2 linked regions of the Astyanax mexicanus genome follow. The main gene of each other region encodes a partner of the protein of the gene in region 2 in a complex. Links are inferred from orthologs where the notes say so. Each region holds a gene or a part of one and is shown on either strand. Other genes may lie near its edges.

Region 1 (11,009 bases), on a different chromosome or scaffold from region 2:
CATTTCTCATTTCTGTAAATAAATGCTCTAAATGACAATATTTTTATTTGGAATGTTGGAGAAATCTTGTCTGTAGTTTAAATAATAAAACAACAATGTTCATTTTACTCAAACAATATACCGATAAATAGCTAAATTAGAGAAACTGATTTAGAAACGGAAGTGTCCACTCTCTTATTTTTTTCCAGATCTGTATTTAAAAATTATAATATATTGTTGCTGTCGCACAAAACTCTCCAAAATGTAAAAAGATCTGTTAATTTTTTACATTTATATTGGGTCAATTCATCAGAAAATTATGACAATATAAAGAACAGCTGCCAGATTTTCATTATGTCAATTGTTTTTAAAATATTGAAATGAAAATAGAGTTTTTTGCCTTTAAAAATATTCTTTTTGATCCCCTTACAAGAGTTCAGACCTGGGGTCACAAACCCTGCTCCCTGAGAGCTAAGTTCAATCAGACTTAAACTCCTACCACTAATCAATCCCACCTGATCCATCTAATTACAGCCTTCAGGAGCTTAATCAGCTGTGTGAAGTTGTAACTGCAGGACAGCAGCTCTCTAGGAGCAGGACTGGAGAATCCTGGTTTGGAGAATTTCTTAGACTTCTAGAGCATCATAAATAAGAAACATCTGAGAATACAAACAGCAATACATAAATTATTCTCAGACTTGTAATGCCAGAAAATGAGCCTAAACAAGCCATACAATACAAAGGTCAACAAAATTATTTAAATCATGTCCATATATTGTAGGATAGGTCAATATCGTAATTTTGTTGGATGTCCAACAAAATTACGATATTGACCAATCCTACAATATATGGACATGATTTAAATAATTTTGTTGACCTTTGTATTGTATGTTGTGCTTACTAGGAGATGTTTTATTTACGTTACAATTATTTATCATAATTAAACAGTTGTTCCAATCCCATGTCAGAGTATTCTTAATAATAATTGAAAGTTAAATGTGCTGTAACAAAATAGAATAAAAAAATTCCAATATTATATTATTATTATATCAGTGGCATAAACTAATCTGAAACTGACAGTAAAATAATTTATGGCAATTATTTCTGGACCGATACATTGCCTAAGAAAATTAATTATTATGACAGGCCTGAACTATTATACTTCAGACCTGGGGTGAGTAACGGGAGCTGGAATGCAGCACATTTACTGATTTCTCTGCTCTGTCAGATCTACTATAAACCTAGCAATTAACAGTGGTGTTGAATCAGGTGTGTTCAAACAGGAAAAACACAAAATTGTAGAGAAATCTGGAGGAGTGGAACTGCCCACTTATGCTCTACACTCAACCCAAAAACTCAATAGCCATTAAAAATAAAACCTAGTTCAGGCCTATTACATTTTCAAACAAGACAACATCGCTGCTCACATCATTTATTGTAATAAATATATTCAATTGTATGTACACTATTTCCACATCAGTGCATTATGTACAAATTCACTATGCATCTGTTGCCAAGAATGCACAGATACACCTAAAGTCATAGTGCACAATCTAAAGGGGCTTTGTAAAGAGCTGAGACACTGTAAGGAACCGTGCGTGCAGTCCGAAGCTTGGACACAGTCACTGGTCTGTAATACTGGCTTGAAAAAAAAAGTGTAACACTGTTCTCCTGATATAAATGCTGTGGGTTGCTGTGCGTTTGCTGAGCTAGAAGAGTTAAGGTGCACCTAAATATGATTGTGAGATTGAGGCTTATAGCGCACTTATTAACTCGATCATATTCCTTTCATAATTCTATCATAGCTGGGCCTTCCAGCATTACATTCTTAAAGGGGAATTTCAGCGGATTTTCAAAAATCTGTGCATAATTAAGTTAAGACGTAAACAAAGTCATTCCATCTTACAGAGTCACAGAACTGATGAATGGAAACAGATTGCTGAAATGCCTATATTACAGAAAGTAACTGCATTACATGATTACAGATACTCTGCCTGATGCCTGACACAGTGGTTTACCATAGCTTGGCAATACATTCAGCCTAGATGTTGGCTTTAAATTCAATCTCGGTGGAGGGGTACATTCAGGGCATGCTAAGGCAAAATAGTTTCCAAAAGATTATTTTGTCATTAAAACAGACAAAAAAGACATATTTTTTTACTTTTATATAATCACCATCACATCATAACCTCAGAAGGCATTTGTAAGTTCCCTAGTTGTTTCAGACAGGAATTAAATTTTATAATTGTGGTGTAAACAATTTCAACATTTTCAGAATTAATTTGTTTAGATTAGGTTGATCTACAAAATTTCTTAAGGTTCCTTGTTTTTTCACCCCTTTACCATGATCTCCATTACATTTAATACCTCACACAGCATGTGTATTTTCCCTGGTTGTTTAAGACATTACATTACATTACATTACATTTCATTTGGCAGACGCTTTTGTCCAAACCGACTTACAATAATGAAGTACAAAGACAGTAATTAACATAGTATAACTGTGCTGTAGATCATCTTTCACATCCTGAACAACTCTGTTTACATCTCAACAATGAACAATGAAGCTGAAGTCTTCCTGGCTGTCTGGTATGATGGGTGTTAACAAGAAATCAATGAAGTTTTGGTTAGATCTGGTTGGTCTACATGGTTTTTCAAGGTTCTTCTTTTGTCCACTCCACTTTAACGTAATCGCTATTACATTTAAACCCCCAGACAGCATTGCAGGTTCTCTGCTCATTTTAGACAGATTAAAACGCTATAACTGTCCTGTAGACAAGTTCTGAGACCCTGAATGGCTTTGTTTACATCTTAACAAGATAAGCTGAACCTATTCTGGATGTCTCAGTTGACAGGTTCTCCATAAGGCTGAAAGGAATCTGGTTGGTCTACATGGTCAACATGGTTTCTCAAAGTTCCTTGCTCTACACAGTGCACAAAACCTCATCAACAAACCTGAAAAGCCCTGAATAGTTCTAATATTTCTCAACAAAACAGTTTGGGAACACGGTTCAAAGGCCAAGATCCATCATGCCTAGCCTGTTCTCCTCTTTCTATCTTCCATACCTCGTATCTTCAAAGGTATTTTGTGTAATTTCAACCACTGCACGCTTCAGCACAATGCCTTCATTTTTTTGCTTTGTCCTGCTTCCTCACAGTATGGGGTAAAAACCTCAATCCTCTTTCCCTCCTGTACTGTAGCCTGTACTAATACTGCATTAGAAACATTATAAAACCTCCACAGTGTGAGAGATGATGATTGGGCTGTCTGGGAGCTCCAGTGTCCATCCTCAATCGAGTTAGACAGTGCTAGGCTCTATATAGTGCAATCTGACCCCTCTCAATCAATCCGATCAGCCCCCCAAACACCCTGGGCAGTGTTGGCGTGAGTTGGTTGGCAGGCTGTATAGGTGAAACAGTGCTTTGTGTGCTGTGCTGAGCTGAGCTGAAGTGCTGGAGAAGGTCCATCCCATAAGACTGGTGGTGTCTGAAGACTCCTGCTTCAGAGGTTGATCACTAAGTACCCGAGGATTCCAGCTATGAGCAAGACAGCGGTGAACACGATGCCTGCGAAGATCTTCATGATGCCAGCCTCTCCATCACCACCTTCCTTGGGTTCTTCCTCGCATACGGAGATGACCCCCACAGACGAGTTGCCCACACTGACGGTGGACTTTAGCTCGGCGCCAGCCTCTTGCTTGGCCTCCACAGCCCACGGCGCCACCTGTACCTTCATCTCCATCTCCTCCAGCATCTGGTCCACCTGGGCGATCTCGGTCTCCAGATCCCTGAGGTCGGCCGTGTCGATGCCAGCATCCGCCTCGTACTTCATGTTCTGCACGCTCATGGCTCTGGCCGCCACCGTGGTGGTGCTGCCCGTCATGCCAGTCTGGATAAAGTGGCGGGTGGGCACCTTCAGAGGGAAGCTCTGGCCGATCTCCAGGGAGCGCTTCATGTCCACCTCCAGGATCTCCATGCTGCTGGTGAAGAGCACCCATAGGCGCTCGTACTCCACTCGATCATCGTTGCTGATGCTCTTATCCTTCAGCACGGCTGTCAGCTTGGTCCTGTTGGCCACGGCCAGCTCCTGAGCCTTCTTGCGGGTCTTCTTGAGCTCTTCTCTGAGGTTCTGCGAGTCTGAGGTGCTGCCCAGAGCTGAGACCAGGTGCCGGTAGCAGGCTGTGACTTTGTTCAGGGCATCCAGCATGGTTTTGCACTCGTCTTTACCCATGTTTGACCACTGGTGGATGGGTTGCAGAGATGATGGATGGACTGGGGGAGGTTAAAAAAAGCTTTAAAAACCAAAAACAACCTTTAATGTTAGGTCCTTTAACATTTCTTTATTTTCAGCCAGACAAATCCACTCAGCTCTCCGGCCACAGCCATGTTTCCCAGCTTGTGAGAGCAGGCTTAACAAATAAACGGATCTGTAAACAGCTTTACTTTTACCCTGGGAGATTAGTCCTCGTCAGTAACCCGAGATGCAGGAGGCGGACGGGTGGAGCATCAATTTAAAAGCATCTTCTTCCTTTCTTTCAGAAGACCGTCCTGCAGCTCTGCACTTAGACGATAGCACGATAGAAAAAAGCGTTTAGCCCAAACTCACAGGAAGTGCACACATCATCATCATCAGCATCATCAGCATCCCTGGCTAATCCCTCCAGAACAGACGAGTGTTTGGCCCTCGCCCCACAAAAAAAAAATAACACAATAAACGATGGTATGCGCTCCTCACAGCTCCACTCTCCACACACGACGCGTCCCCAGCGCCATAAAACCCCAGCAAACGCGACGGTGTAGAAATATATTCCCCTTCCCGCTGTTTTGTTTTGGTTTTAGCTAGCCAGCGTCTCCGTGAACGCGCCGACCGCCCGCCTCTCTCAATCACTGCGCTTTAAATACCACTAGTAGCCCAAGCGTGTGCTCGCTGCTCACATGAACGCGCATCACAGAAACACAGAGCCAGTCAGCTGCGCGTTCACAAACGGAGCAAAGAGCCCAGCAAAATGCAGCGCTGTGATTGGCCAAAGCACAGTATTGGATTTGAATGTCAGGTACAATTGGTGTAAGCTGCCCATCATTCACTAGCTAGGAGGAAAACAGTGGAGAAAAAGGGATCTTTTAAATCTGAAATTATATAATTTATACATTTATACTGTAAAAAAGTAAAAGTTGAGAAAACTAAAAAAAAAACTAAAAAATAATAGACAGTTGTGAGAACTGGAAATCTTTAGTTCTGATAATTCATTTTTTCATATGCATAAAAACATTAAACATTAAGTCTCACCAATTTAGAAATTAATTTTTTGTTCTTAGGATCTATGAAATGTGTTTTGTAAATTCTGCTGACTATCCTTCAAAGGAGAACTCTGGTGTAAAATTGACTTTTGGTGTAGTAAAACATGATAAAAAGTATTTACCTTTGATGAATAGCACACCTCCGTTCTCCCACAGCGTTCTGAGATTCAAAAATTTTAACAGTTTATCCAAACACCCTTCAGACTGGGTGACACGGGGCATAATTTGCTAGTGGGGCATAATGACAGTAGCTTCAGCTCTGTGCGCCGCCATTTTTGAAATGATAATAACATAGACATATACATAAACGCTGTATAGCATAGCAGCTTGGAAAATGGTGGAAAAAGCGTTTTATCTGGGCACAATATGCCCCGAGTGTTTGGACAAGCTGTTAAAATTTCTGGATGTCGGAACGCTGTGGGAGAATGGATGTGTGCTATTTATCAAAGGTAAATACTTTTTATCATGTTATCATACCAAAAGTCCATTTAAAACCGGAGTTCTCCTTCAACTAAAATTAACTTGTGTCAGTGACACCTTAAACAATTAGTAATTGTGCCAACATAAATTATTTAGTTAGGCCAACTTTTAAAAAGAAACTTAAAAATGTTAGTTGAGGAAATGAGTTTGCTATAATTTACAATGCAATTCAATATTTCCTGTCCTGTTAGCTGACTTGAAAATCACATTAAAGAGAACAATTTTAAGTTTTGTTCATACCATTCAAAAGTTTTACATATACATTTTCTTTTTTTCCTAATGTAAATTAATACTGAAGTCAAATGTGTTAAACAAACAAAAATACTCTGTAAAACATTTAGGTGGGATCTCATCTGAAGATGGTATCTCTTGGTCTTCCATTTCTGAGGCTGTCCTGATGAGAGCCAGTTTCATCATATCCCTTTTGATGGTCTTTGCGACTGCACTTGAGGATACTTTCAAAGTCCCTTTACTTAGTTGAGTATTTCTTGCCATAATATGGATTAGATCTTAACTTAAATAGGGTAATCCCTGTATACCATCTCTACCTCTTCACAAGTTTACAACTGATGCTCTCAAACACCTTAAGAGAACTGGCAAGAGATTCAAGTAATTAACTGTTGAGAAGGCAATTGACGGCAACTGAAAGTCATTCCAGGTGACTACCTCTGACTAAGAAAATGCCAAGATGAGCAAAGCTGATATCTAAGCAAAAGGAATTGTAATAATCTAAAGTATAAAACACAGTTTTTGTTCAAACGTTTTGTTTACTAAATAATTCCCCATGTTTTTATTGATAATATAGATGACTAAAATTAAAATAATAAAAGAAAAACACCGTTCAACCATTGGTGGTACCACAACAACCCATTTGCAACAACCTAGCAACCACATGAAATATCATCCAAGCATATCAAAGAAATTGTTTTTATGGGATATTTGATTTCTAGTAAACATACTGGAGATAACACACTAGAAGCACCCATCCAACTTTTTGTGGTACCAAAGCAAACACTACCTAGTAATAACCTAGCAACTTTCTGGAACACCTTAGTAACCAATGCATCATTCAAGCATATGAAGCAATTTGATTCAGGAAAACGATAACTGCCACACTCTAAGAAATATAAGTACAGATTTGTACTTAAAAGAGTACAAAGCTTGTCGCTGGGGCTGTACCTTATATTAAGGTTCAAAAAAGTACCTTTCAGTAAAAGTCCTTTTTTGTACCCATGGTTTTTGTGCCAGTATAGATTATAAAGATTATAAACATTGTCATCAACTAAAAATGGCTCAAAAACTTGATGATACAAAATTGTCTGGCTTTCAAATAAAAAATGTGCAATTTAAATATATACTGTTCATTAGTACAGTGATGCAGAATACTGAATGTACCTTTTGGCTGGTTAAATGGTACAAATCTGTACTTATTGCTGTTAGAAATGACTTTGTACTTCAGAGGGAACAAATCTGACCCTGTAAAGACCAATATTGTACCTTTGAGGGTACAATTATAAAGAATGTACCTTCGAGTACAAAAAAGTACTCATATCGTACCTCTGTTTTTTTAGAGTGCAGGAAACACATCAGGGTTGCCATGTGTCCTGAGAAATCTGGAAAAAGTGGAAACTTAGATGTGGAAAAAGAGATAATCGCAATTAATATTTTAGAAAGATGTAATAACACCCAGCCAACCAGATGGGGTACCACAGCAGCCACTTGGAAAAATGGTAGGAGCCACCAAAGACACATGAGAGACCACCTAGAACACCTATCTACCTATATACAGTAACATACAGTTACATTTTGACTCTATCAGTGTTGATTTAACATGGGGAAATGTATGGTATACCTATTAAATAGATTGTCTTGTTCTGAAACTCAGTCTATAGTAGCAGTCTATATTAATCTAATTCTGTTTAGGTCACAGGGAGGGCATAATGGCAGGGTGGCACAGCTGGCAAGTGTGGTTAGAAAGCTGGCTCAGGCAGAGGCCTGCAGGGGCATGCTGTTTTCCTCCCCATGGGGCAGTAGTTGGGATGGCATCTTGTTATGCATGCACGCAGCAGGTTAATGTGGAGCTTTTTCCCTATGCAGGGATAACCATCAGAGCTACCCAGCAGCTGCTGGCTCTCAGTCAAAATGACTTTAACTGTAAAGCCAAAGAAAATGTACAGCGCTGAGCTTATTAGTAGCAAAACAGCAGCGAGTTTCCTCAAAATCCATCCAAAGAAGAGATTAAAAATTTTAATATACAGCTAAATAAGAGACCACTTAAAATTGATGAGTTTCTTTGATTTTACCAAGTTGAAAACCTCGGGAATATAATCAAAAACGGAAAACGGATGATCACAAGCCATCAAATCAAGTTGAACTGCTTGAATTTTTGCACCAGGAGTAAAGGCATAAAGTTATCCAAGAGCAGTGTGTAAGACTTGTGGAGGAGAACATGCCAAGATGCATGAAAACTGTGATTATAAACCAGGGTTATTCCACCAAATATTGATTTCTGAACTTTATGAATATGAACTTGTTTTCTTTGCATTATTTGAGGTCTGAAAGGTCTGCATCTTTTTTGTTTTATAACAAAAAAAATAAATTCACTAAATGACAATATTTTTATTTGGAATTTGGGAGAAATGCTGTCCGTAGTTTATGGAATGAAGCAACAATATTCATTTTACTCAAACATATACCTATTAGTTCCCAGCTGAAGGCTCAGATATGGCTTACTGTTTGATGTCTGAGAATAGGAGGATCTTATTGACTGGCACCTTGGGACACCTAAACATTTGCACAGACTGACATATTAATGAGAGTACAGGCTGGGAGATGGCCTACTGCTAGTTTGATGTTTGCTCAGGCAGCTTTGTCTGAAGCTTTGTCATTTAAACTGGTGAAGGATATTAACTATAAAAAACACAGGATGGAAGAGTGTATGAAGTGTAAAGAGCTAATGAAGTTTAACGTTACTTGAACGAGAGGGTCACTCGTCCAGTGGACAGGATGATCTGCACATGCTATAATCCAGATTAACAGGTTACTAAGGGACTGGGATTAGCACTATAATGCCCTCTAATGCCCCTTTTAATGGAAGCAGCCCATCTTCTCATGTAAAGTGCAAGAAATGATTTCTATACTAAGCCAAGAAATTTAGCATTCACATTCTACTTGACATTTGTGTAGAGTGTTGACACATGGCTATGGCTTCTTTACTGCATACTACAGCTTTAATATGCATTAGTGAACTGCACCTCAAACTGTTTACAGACAGTGATTTCTGGAAGTGTTATTGAGGTTGTGCAGAGAATTCCAGTACAAAATCAGGTATGTTTTAAATTCAGTGCAACCTGAGGGCCTGAAGATCACCAGCATCCAGTAATGACCATCAGCCTTGTCAATTTTTTTGCACACATATATTTTTTCCACATTCTCTGAATCTTTTGATGATTTTATGGGCTGTAGATGGTGGGATATTTATTTTTACATTGAGGAACTGAAATGACAATAAAAAACCTCTAGACTTGACTTATACACAGTCATTTGAGTTATTTGCAAATTGCTTCTATTGCAGATATTTTAGTACTGCTTTCTTTTCCAGCCTTTTTAGTACCATTCCACCTTTTTTGAACGTGTTAAAGGCCTTAAATACAGGAATGGATATTTATTTATGAATTAAATCTTGAGCAGACAAAGCATGAAATATCTCAGGTTAAAACTGTCTGCAATAAAATAAAAACTGCAGTTTTCTGTTATTTGCATTATCCATGCCATCCCAAATGTTTCTGGTTTGGGGTTGTACATAGTTTTCCAAGCTTTTTGGAACTGGGGTTATAAATATACATGATATATGGAATGTGCAAATTGTATAAATTGTCTAATATTTCAGTGTGTAGCTCCATATTTTGTATATAGTACATATAAAAAATATGGAGCTACATACTGGAATATTGGACAATTTTATAAGTATTTTAATAAGTTAGTTTGGATAGAAAGGCTTTGAAAGTAGATCTTATTTAACATCTACATTAACGCAGAAGGGATGTCCCGGTCTTTTGAACATAAAATATGGGAAATAGATGTTACTGTCTGCGCTATCCGAGAGTAAAAAAATGAGATAAAAGAAGCCTGTCTTCTCTACTGAATAATTTAAGCACTCTTACCGCTCCAGAGATTCAGACAGTGCTTCATGGCGAGTCTACACGCTATACTTGAGCTGGGGTGAGCAGTAAGTCAAAGCTCTGTAGTACTGTATTGTGTAAGGTTGACCCTGAGTAGCATCTGCAAAAGCACAGCTGAAGAAATTTTGATATTTTGCTTTTTAACGTCACAAAAGCTTTTGTTTCAGTAGAAAACGGGGGGGATTGGCCCCCTCACTGTTCCAATTATTTTTTGAGGGGACTGTATGTGCCATCAGACATTTCCACCTTTCAGAAATCCTCTAGCGTCCTGTAATTCAGCAGCAATACGATGATCCACTGAGGTTGACCGTTTTCCATCACAGTGATGACGTCGTGGACATTCCTGTCCCTTTTCTTTAAATAAGCCTCCTTTTTAGGATTACAAGCTTTCCCTACTAAACTCAGATCATCCTAAAGGAGCCACGGCATCTGCTTGTGCCGCTTTTAGCCCTAATCCAATCAGGTCTTTACTCAGAGCATGAAGAGGACTTAAGATGAAAGTGAAAAGCTCAGGAACTCTTTGTCCACCATTAGTTCTCGCCATCCCATTCTCCAAAAAAGCAACCTGTGTCACTTCAGGTCACATGACAGGAGAGGGGGAGCAGCAGAGAGGTGATACTGAAAAAAAAAAGCAGATAACAGTAACGGATAAACACAGAGACACTTCCAAAAGCAGTATGTGTACAAATGATCAAACAAAGTGTCCTGTAGTTAGATGTACAAGAACATGGTACTGGAGATGACACTGAAGAATCACAGGGCATCTCACGATACGAGATTATCACGATACATTGCACACGATAATGATGATATCCCATTACTGTTATTCTGTGATACTCAATATATCACAGTATATTGTATCTCTATGATACTTAACAACATTTGTGTTACTGAGCAGGATAAAATACTACTAAATAAAAATAAATACATAAAAAATACCAGGAACTATGGATTTATTGGTGTCAATATTCTTCACCACAGGTTGATGATTATTTGATGATGTTACCATAAAAATATTGATATTTTACACCACATATTGATAATATATTTCAAATGAAAACTATATGATAT
Region 2 (9,987 bases):
AACAAACAAACAGAAATTAAATGGAATGATTGTTTAGGACATCTCTCTCATTGCAACATAAGCTGCTTCAAATTTTCATGCAAGATAGTGTCCTTGACGTCCCGGAAGACGAGTCGGATGTTCTCCGTGTTAATGGCAGTGGTGAAGTGGTAATACAGCGGTTTCTGCTGCTCTCTGCGTTTGCTGCGGAAGCACTCTACTAGGAACTTTTTCACTTCAGAGAGGTCGTGGGGCTCCTCTGTGTACTCCGGGAAATAGTCTTTAATAGACACAAGCTTAACTTTCTCCTCCAGCAGGTCCATCTTATTCAGAAAAAGAATGATCGACGCATTCGAAAAGACGCGGTTGTTGACGATGGTCTCGAATATGCTGAGGGACTCTGTGAGCCTGTTGGTTTGACGGTCCTCCATGAGAACCTGATCGAACTCACTAGAAGAGACAAGGAAGAGGACAGAAGTGACACAGTCAAAGCACTCAAACCAGCGACGGCGCTCTGACCGCTGTCCTCCCACATCCACCATCTTGAACGGAACATTCTTGATCTCAAAGTCATACTCGTGGATGCCCTTGGTTGGCTTCCTTGCCAGGAGTATGTCCTGCTGGGTTGGTAAATAGTCCTGAGAATAAAGAGAATAACAAATAAATTAATATTCATGAAATAAATCATACAGACTTTGCTAATAGGTAATATACATTTTCTTTTTATCAACAGTGCATCTAGTAGGGGAAAAAAAAGTTTTTACCAGCTGCCCAATTCTGTCCAAACCATCGAGAAAATATTTCACAGATTCTCCCTACAGAAACACACACACACACAAAAGACAAAAACAACAATTAACAATGAAAGAAATCACAGCAATCATAAAACAAAATCATAGCATATATGGACAAAAAAAACTAAATCACGTCTGCCTTTATTTTTTAAGATTTTAACATTGTTTACAAAACCAAAAAAGTAAGAACAGTCCAGAGTCACTTGTAAAAAGATATTGCAAGTAACAAGACCAAAATCATGTCAGAACTTTGTTTGCTTTTAATATTAAGTTAATCAAACATTTATAAACATTTATCAAACAAACATTTATAAACAATTTAACAGCCCAGTCAGTTAAACTACTGTTTAAAATTCGGTTAACAGTTAATTCAGTAATGAATGCACTTGATGCAGATTCCTGATACTTTTCTAGCTGCGTTAAATTATTGCTGGAATAGCAACAGTAACCTTTGTCCCTGAGTGCTCAATTCTAAATCCTGAACAATAACCCCTCCAGTTTTCTCTCAATCCCTTATTATAGAGAACAGGGCTGAGTTTTAACTCTCTCTCAGTTTCCTCAGTGTGTATCACAAAATCTCTGGTCCAACACTACTCAAACTTCCTCAGTCAGCGTACTGCATTAGGCCACATTTCACACACACAAGACTTTGTGCTAAATTAGTAATCAAAGATTTCTTAATAAACATATTAACATATTTAATGCCTGTGTAAAGTTTAAGCTTAATGAAACGCAGCAATGAAAAACAAAACAGGAAAAGGGGAACAGGGACATTTCTACAACCACATGACAAGAGTTTCACTTTCGGTTGGTATCTCTGTATTACGGTATACTGTGCTATTTCTGATAGAAGAATCCTAATGATAAATTCTCAAACATAAGTCTGCATGATACAAATGTTTACTGATCAAATGTAATCTGTGAAACTCTATATAAAGCCCCTGACAGTTTTGCTTGTAGGTTTGCTGCCAAGGGAGTGCCTGAACTTTTAACCCAAACCTTCTAAACATAAATTCAAATAGCATTAGCCATTATGTATCTTCCACACCCTCTGTAATAATGGATGACTAAATGCCTATCAGGTTGATGGATTATGAATCTGTGTGATGGACTGATTTTCTCTTAGTCAAACCAAATAAGACCATTGCATGTCCAGTGCTATTTTAACGAATAATGAAAGGAACAGTTTCCCCAACAATACTGCTTCTGTTTTATTAGTATTTATAGATAACAAACATGGCATTAGTAGGTGGAATAGACTATTCTGAAAAGACTAAATAAACAGCAAGTTTCCTTTCTGGAAAAGTGCTTTTAGTTTGGTTATGGGTGGTTAACAATACTCTGTAAGCATTATATTGTCTCTTATATTGTCACTTTAGAAGAAGCAGAAAAGAACAAAACCAACAGACTAAAGTAAGTTATGTCAATTATGTAAAATATGTTTTAAATATAACTACAACACATAATACAGTGTCCATATTGTAAAATTGGGGATTATCTGGTTTAAATATTATTTTTAATGCATGCCACATTAACATATTTGGGAAAATATAAATGATCCTGAAGCAATAAACCCATTACACCTTCTGATAAAAATGTTGGATACAGGTGACTACATTTAAAAATGATATACACACGTCTGTATTGTCAAGCTTACCGACTAGCAAAAGATGCAAGGCACAGTACCGAGAAAAATGTTTTCCTCTGCCCTATCCGCTGACCCATACAAAGTGATTAAACAGATCAACATTCTTTAACTGGGAATACAACCCCCCCTTTCACCCACCCTCCCACCACCAACAACAACCACCACACAAATTCTGTCAAACAAGCTACACAAATATCACATGTAAACCAATCTTTTAGGCCAAAAATTGAAAAGAAAAGGTGGGAAAAAAACAGATACGATGCATACAGTGAAAATAAAAAAAGAGCATAAATGGTGTGTTTTACAGTAAAAATGAGTGAAGCTGCTCCTGATAACACAATGTGGGTGGTTTGGGACTCACCAGCTGAAACTCTCTCCTTCTGTCATAGGCAGTCTGAATGCCGCTGTCAGCCCACAGTGAGCGGATCGATGGCAGATAATGCAGGAAAACTTTGGTCTCAACTATTCCCTGGACCATCATGGACGAGCGTGTGTCAAAGCCCATCATGACCTCTCCATGGGCCTGGTTCGAAGGGTCTCCCCAAGGGATGTGCAGCTTTTCTCTGGCATCCACCAGCACCCGTACTCCTGAGGGACAAACCCAAACAAGGAAATTCCAGTGAGATAAGACAGACTGATAACCTGCTGAATCCATCATACTGTACATAGTTGGGAAAACAGGTATTTATGAGTATAACATGTGGTACTATCAGTGTCACATGTAGAGACAGGGTAGCACAAAATAAAAAATAAACCTTGCTTCTGAGGTTCAAATTGGTATTTGGCCTTTGTTTTGAAAAGCAAAACAAAAAGGGGCAAAGAGGCGCACAGAGATAGTAGGCTATCTGATTATTTTTGACTAATCTGATGATGATTTTTTTCTTAGATTAGATGATTAGTCAACAGTTATTTCTGCCATGTCCACCACCTTTAAAATCTATAGGAATAGCTGATTATTTGATTTAAAAGGCATTTAAATGTCAAGAAATTGTTTAAACATGGAAAGTACTGATTATTTAGTGATTATACTGTTTTTTTTTGGGCACTTTTGGAGACACAGACAAAGTTGAGTGTAACCCAGAACTTTGTGTAATGTGGTACTGTTACAAATAACGATTAGTTGACAATGAATTTTGTAGTTGACAGATTTAAATAATCGACATTGACGATTATATCGACTAATTGTTGCAGTTCTAATGTAAACCTAAATGCATGCTGTAGATATTGTAGTTGGCTAGCATAGACAGCCAAGTGTGTAGTGCAAAAAAATAAAACAAACAAACAAACACACAAGTTGACAAGTTGAGTTTTCAAAAGTCAACCTCATCCTTGAGTTTACCAAACCCCTGAATGTCATACTGTCCTCTTGGGTGTGACTTACAGTTCTCATAATTGTGTACAACAAATAAAAGTAACTTTTAAGACCCTGTTAAGAGCTGTTAGCTAGGTTAAGCTAACTACTAGAGTGTTGAGCTCCATAGGCGCGGCGCTAACACGGTGTAGTAGTGTGAGCGTAGCTGTAAGGTTAGCTAATGCCAGATGTAGAGAGCTGCATCGAAACTTCCACACACCAAATCAGTTTCACTTTGAAATAACAGCAGGGCGACGGTCTTATTGTTCTAATCCAGAGATGAACCGCGTCTTTTCTGAGTTAGAAAGCGGAGTACCTTTGATAACATTGCTGTAGATCGTAGCCCGGAACTCTTCTTTGGCCCGCTGATCGAAGTCCTGCCCATGAATTATGCGCATTTGTTTGAGGAAAGTTGACTTGCCACTTTCTCCAGCTCCGAGTAACAAGATCTTCACCAGGCGCTTCACGTAGGTCTTCTCCCGAGAAATACATCTGTCGATCTCCTTGGACTTCCTCTGCTGCTCCACTTCGTTGTTGGAGAGAAAACAAGCGGGGATACAGACTAAAGCCGTCCGGGAGGGCAGGAAATCAGCCATTTTTGTACTAACAACTTCATGGATCCATCACTCGCGGGAGCGCGCGTCGCTCAGTGCGCGTGCACAAACCTGGGCGGTGACTGTGCGGGGTTTTAACTTGTCCATTTCTTTGTGCTCGTTCACTTTATTCACCCACGGCCCCTCTCCCTCACAGATAAAGACCCAAACCTCTTCAATAACCACAGTATAAACACATGGATGGAATATCATTAACCGAGTTTTCAGAATATTTAGACTCTTTTAGTCAACTTAGCAGATCCCTGATTTTTGTAAACACGTAGAAACCGTGATTTAAAAGTCTTATATTACTTTTAAAACAAAATTACAAACAAAAAATAATATATTTTTACATAGAGAGTAAATTAAATACGCAGCTAAAAAAACTAAAAATAAATACACATTAATATATTAATATACCCTAATATAAAATATATTTGATATTTTATATTATATAAATTCAAGAAAGAATGCGATGCATTACAATTTTGCTAAACTTAAGCAGGTAGCAAAACAAAAAGTCAAAATAAAGGCCAAAACACTTTTTTTTATTGTATTTTAGATTTTGCTTTTATTTTGAACTTTATCTTATATTTTTCGTAACATGTATCCATTCAAATAAAAAAGTAAAAAGTAATAAAAATAATAAAAAAATAGTAATAGTGTATAAAAGTGTACCTTATATGAGGAACCTTAAACAAATCAACAAAAAATTGTCCATGGAAAAAAAAATGTAACACGTCGTTCAAATAAAAAGTCAGGGAAAAACTCAAAAACGAAAAACAAATAAAATGTAAAGACAAAAATGTATTTGTCCATGAAAAAAGGTTTATTCTTTTGTGTCCATTAAAAGAGTGAAAAAAAAAACATAATTAAAAATGAAAAATAAATGAATAATAAAGTGTATCTTATATAAGAAACCTTAAAATGCAAAAATGTATTTGCCTATGAAAAAAACATATATTTAACTTTTTTTGTAACATGTGTCCATGTCATTCGAAAAAAATGGGAAAAACATCATTAAAAAAGAAAAAATAATAAAAAAAAAATGTTTATCTTGTATGAGAAACCTTAAAAACCAAAAAAAATATTTAAATAAAAAAGTTTAAATAAACAGATAAATAAATTAAAGGTGAAAAAACGAATTAAAAACGAAAAATAAATACATTAAAAAGTGAAAAAGCTAATTAAAAAAGATAAATAAATAAATGTATCTATCTAAAGCCCCAGAGCTCCTTCAGCAGCTGGACAGCGCCTCCTGCCGGGCGGATCGGTGTCACTGCCGCTCTGAGGCAGGATGTGACAGGTTTGGCTGGTAGGAGCGGCGATGTTCTCTGATTGGTGGAGACAGCCAGCGTCTCGGTGTGTGTATCAATAATAATAAGAGATTAGGCTGGATTAGTAAAACTCCCACGTTCATCCGAGAACCCGCTTCATTCCCGCTCCTCGACGGTGATCTGCAGGCTGCTCCTCCTCTGCTGTGCGGACCACAGACCCAATCATGACCATCAGAAACGTGCGGGATCACGGACAGCGCTACAGACCGCGGATGGCTTGTCTGAAAAAGGTGGGTTGAATGGATGAATGGAGCGGGGTTAGATCACCGTCCTCTGTGGGTCTGCTGTTTTTCAGCTCGTTTTACTGGTGATAATAGGCGTGGGTTATTGATTGGAGAGAAATGTTATGATATTGATCAGGGTGAGCTATATTGGGCTGCTGTCAGTCAGCTGTTTATCAGACCTGATGTGCCTGTATTGGATGGGAACTGATTTGTAACTCCTCTCACCCTCTTCAGCATTTTTATGGTGTTAATGCAACTGTTGCTTTTTACAGCTATGTCTATATAAAAACACAGTGCACTGTGTACATAATAAATGCACATATGAAACATACTATAGAACATGGGAATTTAATTTAGTTAATTTATAAACTAATGAGAATAAATCACAGTCACATATGTTATCAACAAATGTATAGCTCATGTTCTGTGCTTATCTACTTAATCACCTTCTGCTCTTTATAACCCATCGTGCATCTTTGATGCCACCTATGTGCATGGATTGTGTACCTAGAAATTGATGCAGTACAGCTGTCAAAGGGTTAGTTAAACTAATTTTGGCCAGTTAAATCCTTTGTATTAAATTACTTTGCTTAATTTGTCTTATTTGCTCAAATATTTATCAGTGTATTTACTATAATACAGTAACTGATATTGTGACATTGTAAAAAAAAACATGTAAGTAACATCTATCCAACTGTGAAGTATGGGAGTGGATCTAGGGTTGTGTTACTGCCAGTGGCACTGAACATTTTGCACAGTCGAAGTGAATGAATTTCACAAAGTATCAACAGATCCAGGACACAAATTCCAAATAATCTGTTAGGAGGCTGAATGTGAAAAGAGGAGTGCATCAGACACAGCAGTGCTGCTGCAGTTTTTAAATTCTCAGTGTCACTGCTGGACTGAGAAAAGTACAACAACCATATCATTTGACCACTGATGAAGCACTAGAGGATGACCAACACAAACTGTGCAGCAGCAGATCTGATTATTTTATATCTAAAATTTGACCAACTAGTTCAGATTGTCTAATAAAGTTTGAGAGACAGTATGGAGACCCTGTTTAAAATATCCATCACTTATATATATATATCACCCCACACATACATGACAAGGTAAAAGAGGATAATATAGTATGCTGACAAACAGAAAGATGTCTGTATGTAATTATAGAACTACTATGTGCTCCTATATGGGCAGTGGAGCTGATAAGATGGACAATGAATGTAAAAACAAGACGGTAGTCCTAATATTGTGACTTGTCTGTGGAGATATAGAAGTATATGTGTGTTATGTGTGTTAGTTGCCTTAAAATGTGTATACATTATTCCTTCCCATCAGCATGTTGAGAACAAATGTTCACTGTCCAGCTTAAGGTCAGTACTGCATGTACTTAAAGGTATTAGTCCAGCTTTATTACCAGCCTCAGGTCTCTTAAGATATTGCACTAGGAGATGCTTCAGCAGCAGTCTGAGGTAAACAGATGCCTGGTGTCAGCCCATTCTCAGCCCTCTAAACCCAATATTGACTCTACATTGGCATGGTAATAGCCCAATCACTTGGCTAAGAGCTCGCTGTGATCCAGATGAAGGTGCACAATTCCCCAAACAGCCTTCAGAAGCCACAGACCCTGACAAAGCATGAAGAAACTTCAAACAGCGCTAAAGACTAACCAATCAATCGCTGGTGTATTTCAAAGGGGTCAGCCACGTACCCCTCAGGGCATGAAACAGCATGTGAGAGGCCAGCAGGGATGGCTTCATGTTTGAGTATTGCATGATACAGCGTTTAGAGAAGCTGACTTACTGACCAGTGGAAAGAGCACCACTCAAGTTGCCTTATTTGCATTATTTGTGTTAAGTATTTGAATAGCTTTCTTTAAGAGCATTAAAAATAGATTTATAAATACATTAATTGCAATTGCTTTTCATTTACACACAACCCCTCATGTCTCTCATGGTATATCTAAAACTTTTCGGGATACATGGAATACAACACAGTAAGTTTTTAATTTTTACAGATTATTCCATACACAATGCATCTGAACAAAAACCTGGACAAAAATATTACATAGCAAGAAGGAGTTTAAATTAAACAACATTTTATATGTGTAAATATAATGATTAAATGTGTAACCGATTACAATATTAAAGTGGAAGGACAGGTTCATCCACCACTTACTGCCATTAGATCCCAAACAGAGCCTGTATTTGCCACTAAAGACAATACAGTTCCAGTCTATAGCAGTCCAAGAGGTGTTGGCTGGCTGAAAGGTGACCACGATTTCGGGCAATTTGTCAAAGCGACCATCCTTATTCTCTCAGTCCGATGATGTGCCCCGCCTCAAAGTCTAACAACTGTGCAGAATGAGTTTGAAAGCATCGTAGAGGCATGTCAAGCAGTTTGTGATCTCTCACCAAGAGGTACACTAGCCAAAAGTAGCCCCAGAGAGCCCCTGAAACAATTTTCCTCTCTCTTGTGACACGCTTCAGTATCTAATCTATCCTGTAATTATTTACATATCATTAACTAGTCAAGAACTTGATGGATGCAACAAAAAGCTTGGAAAAGTAAGTGGTACTAATAAACAGCTGTGATGGGAGCAATTTGCAACTGTCCCACATGCCTGGCTATAAAATATTATCAAACATTGGATGCAGGCGATCTTTGGGGCCTCAAGCTGTATTATGCAAAGATAAAGCAATATGTTAACTTGTTCCAGAAATGGTACTGTCCAAACCTTAGTTGAATCAAAATTTTACATTTTAAATGAGCTTAAATTGTTTAACAATTGTGTATTTCCTCAGGAAATAGACGTTTTTATGATTGTTATTATAATATAAGGTTATGACCTTGTTCTGCTTCTGCTTTATGTTTTAATTGCAGCTGGAAGCTGTGGTGCTGGAGATGCAAGACCCCAAGACTGGGGTGAAATCTCAGACACAGAGGCTGGTCATCACCACCATTCCTCATGCCATAACAGGTAAGTCTTGAATAAACATATCACAAATCATTGCAGCACTGCAGTGAGGAAATGAGCATCGTTATTGTGTGCAGCTGTGCCTTAATGGAAGATCTCGCACACCATATGAGACACCACTGGCTTTAAGCCGAAGTGATGAGACTCTCGCACGCGCAGTGATTTCTTCAGAGATTACTCTTTAACAGGGTAGTTCCAGCCAGCCCATGCATTGGAGTCCTTCTTCTTATGTAGGTCTAGGTCTGAAGTATCTATTGCCATGACAACCCCTGAGCAGCTGGCTGCAATGACTCCCTCCTCGAGGCTGTGTGGTCTCAGGGTGAAGAGCTTTTCTTCAAACCTCTCCGTTCTCAAAGCCTTGCTGCTCTGTGAAGACCATAAACATGAGACACACCAGTGGGGACATATTTGCTTGTGTTAAATTAATGTATGGAATCATGATATTTTATTTTTTACACAGTATACATTGTGATATTTAGGTTTGTGTACAAATTGAAAGAGACAGAAGGCATCAGTAAAACAGCAGGAAAAAAATAAATAATAAATAAATAATAAATAATACACTGTGTCCAGTGTGGGGGTAATATTGGCATTCTGTACATTATTCCCAGTACACATGTGACACTGAATGGAGAAACATTACATTCCTGCAAAACTTTGGAAATAGAATGTCCCATCCATCGGTTTCCCACTATTAACGCTTTTCCACCAGTGTGGAACAGGCTTCATTGCAGTTTGTGCACCTAATTTTTAACCCTTCAGTGCATTTTCACCCTTCAAAAAATAGGTTCTGGAACCCAGAAAGTTTATTTCGAGCTGGAATAAACAATAGCTGTTTTTTACGCCTCTGTAACCTGCAAACCTGAACGGAACCAGTTTAAGAACTGGTTTTAAGAGTTATTTTGGTCAAAAAGCTCCATATAAGGCCTTGATACTCAGATAAACTCAGATAAATCAGTTCACCTTGCCATGAGAACACTAGTTTTTCCCCAGAATCACATGATAACACCACACAACAAACAATTTGAACTAGTCTGCTGCAATCTTAAAAATGTAAAAAGTTATGTGACTCTGCCCAGTG

What was found. The genes of interacting proteins can lie anywhere in the genome.
Region 1: rgs9b (region 2) and si:ch73-167i17.6 share a complex: the UniProt entries of both Homo sapiens proteins name them as parts of the RGS9-1-Gbeta5 complex. The link is inferred for Astyanax mexicanus from reciprocal best matches to the Homo sapiens genes RGS9 and RGS9BP.

Annotation. Positions count from the first base shown.
Region 1 is NC_064416.1:13,602,160-13,613,168, forward strand, and holds si:ch73-167i17.6 (regulator of G-protein signaling 9-binding protein), read right to left. Parts: upstream 4,920-11,009; 5' UTR 4,211-4,919; coding exon 3,482-4,210; 3' UTR 1,398-3,481; downstream 1-1,397. UniProt on the Homo sapiens protein: Regulator of G protein-coupled receptor (GPCR) signaling in phototransduction. Participates in the recovery phase of visual transduction via its interaction with RGS9-1 isoform.
Region 2 is NC_064422.1:28,642,267-28,652,253, reverse strand, and holds the start of rgs9b (regulator of G-protein signaling 9b), read left to right. Parts: upstream 1-5,680; 5' UTR 5,681-5,866; coding exon 5,867-5,932; intron 5,933-8,812; coding exon 8,813-8,909; intron 8,910-9,987. Other genes in the region: gna13a (guanine nucleotide-binding protein subunit alpha-13a), read right to left, coding at 48-617, 744-794, 2,783-3,009, 4,089-4,368. UniProt on the Homo sapiens protein: Inhibits signal transduction by increasing the GTPase activity of G protein alpha subunits thereby driving them into their inactive GDP-bound form. Binds to GNAT1. Involved in phototransduction; key element in the recovery phase of visual transduction.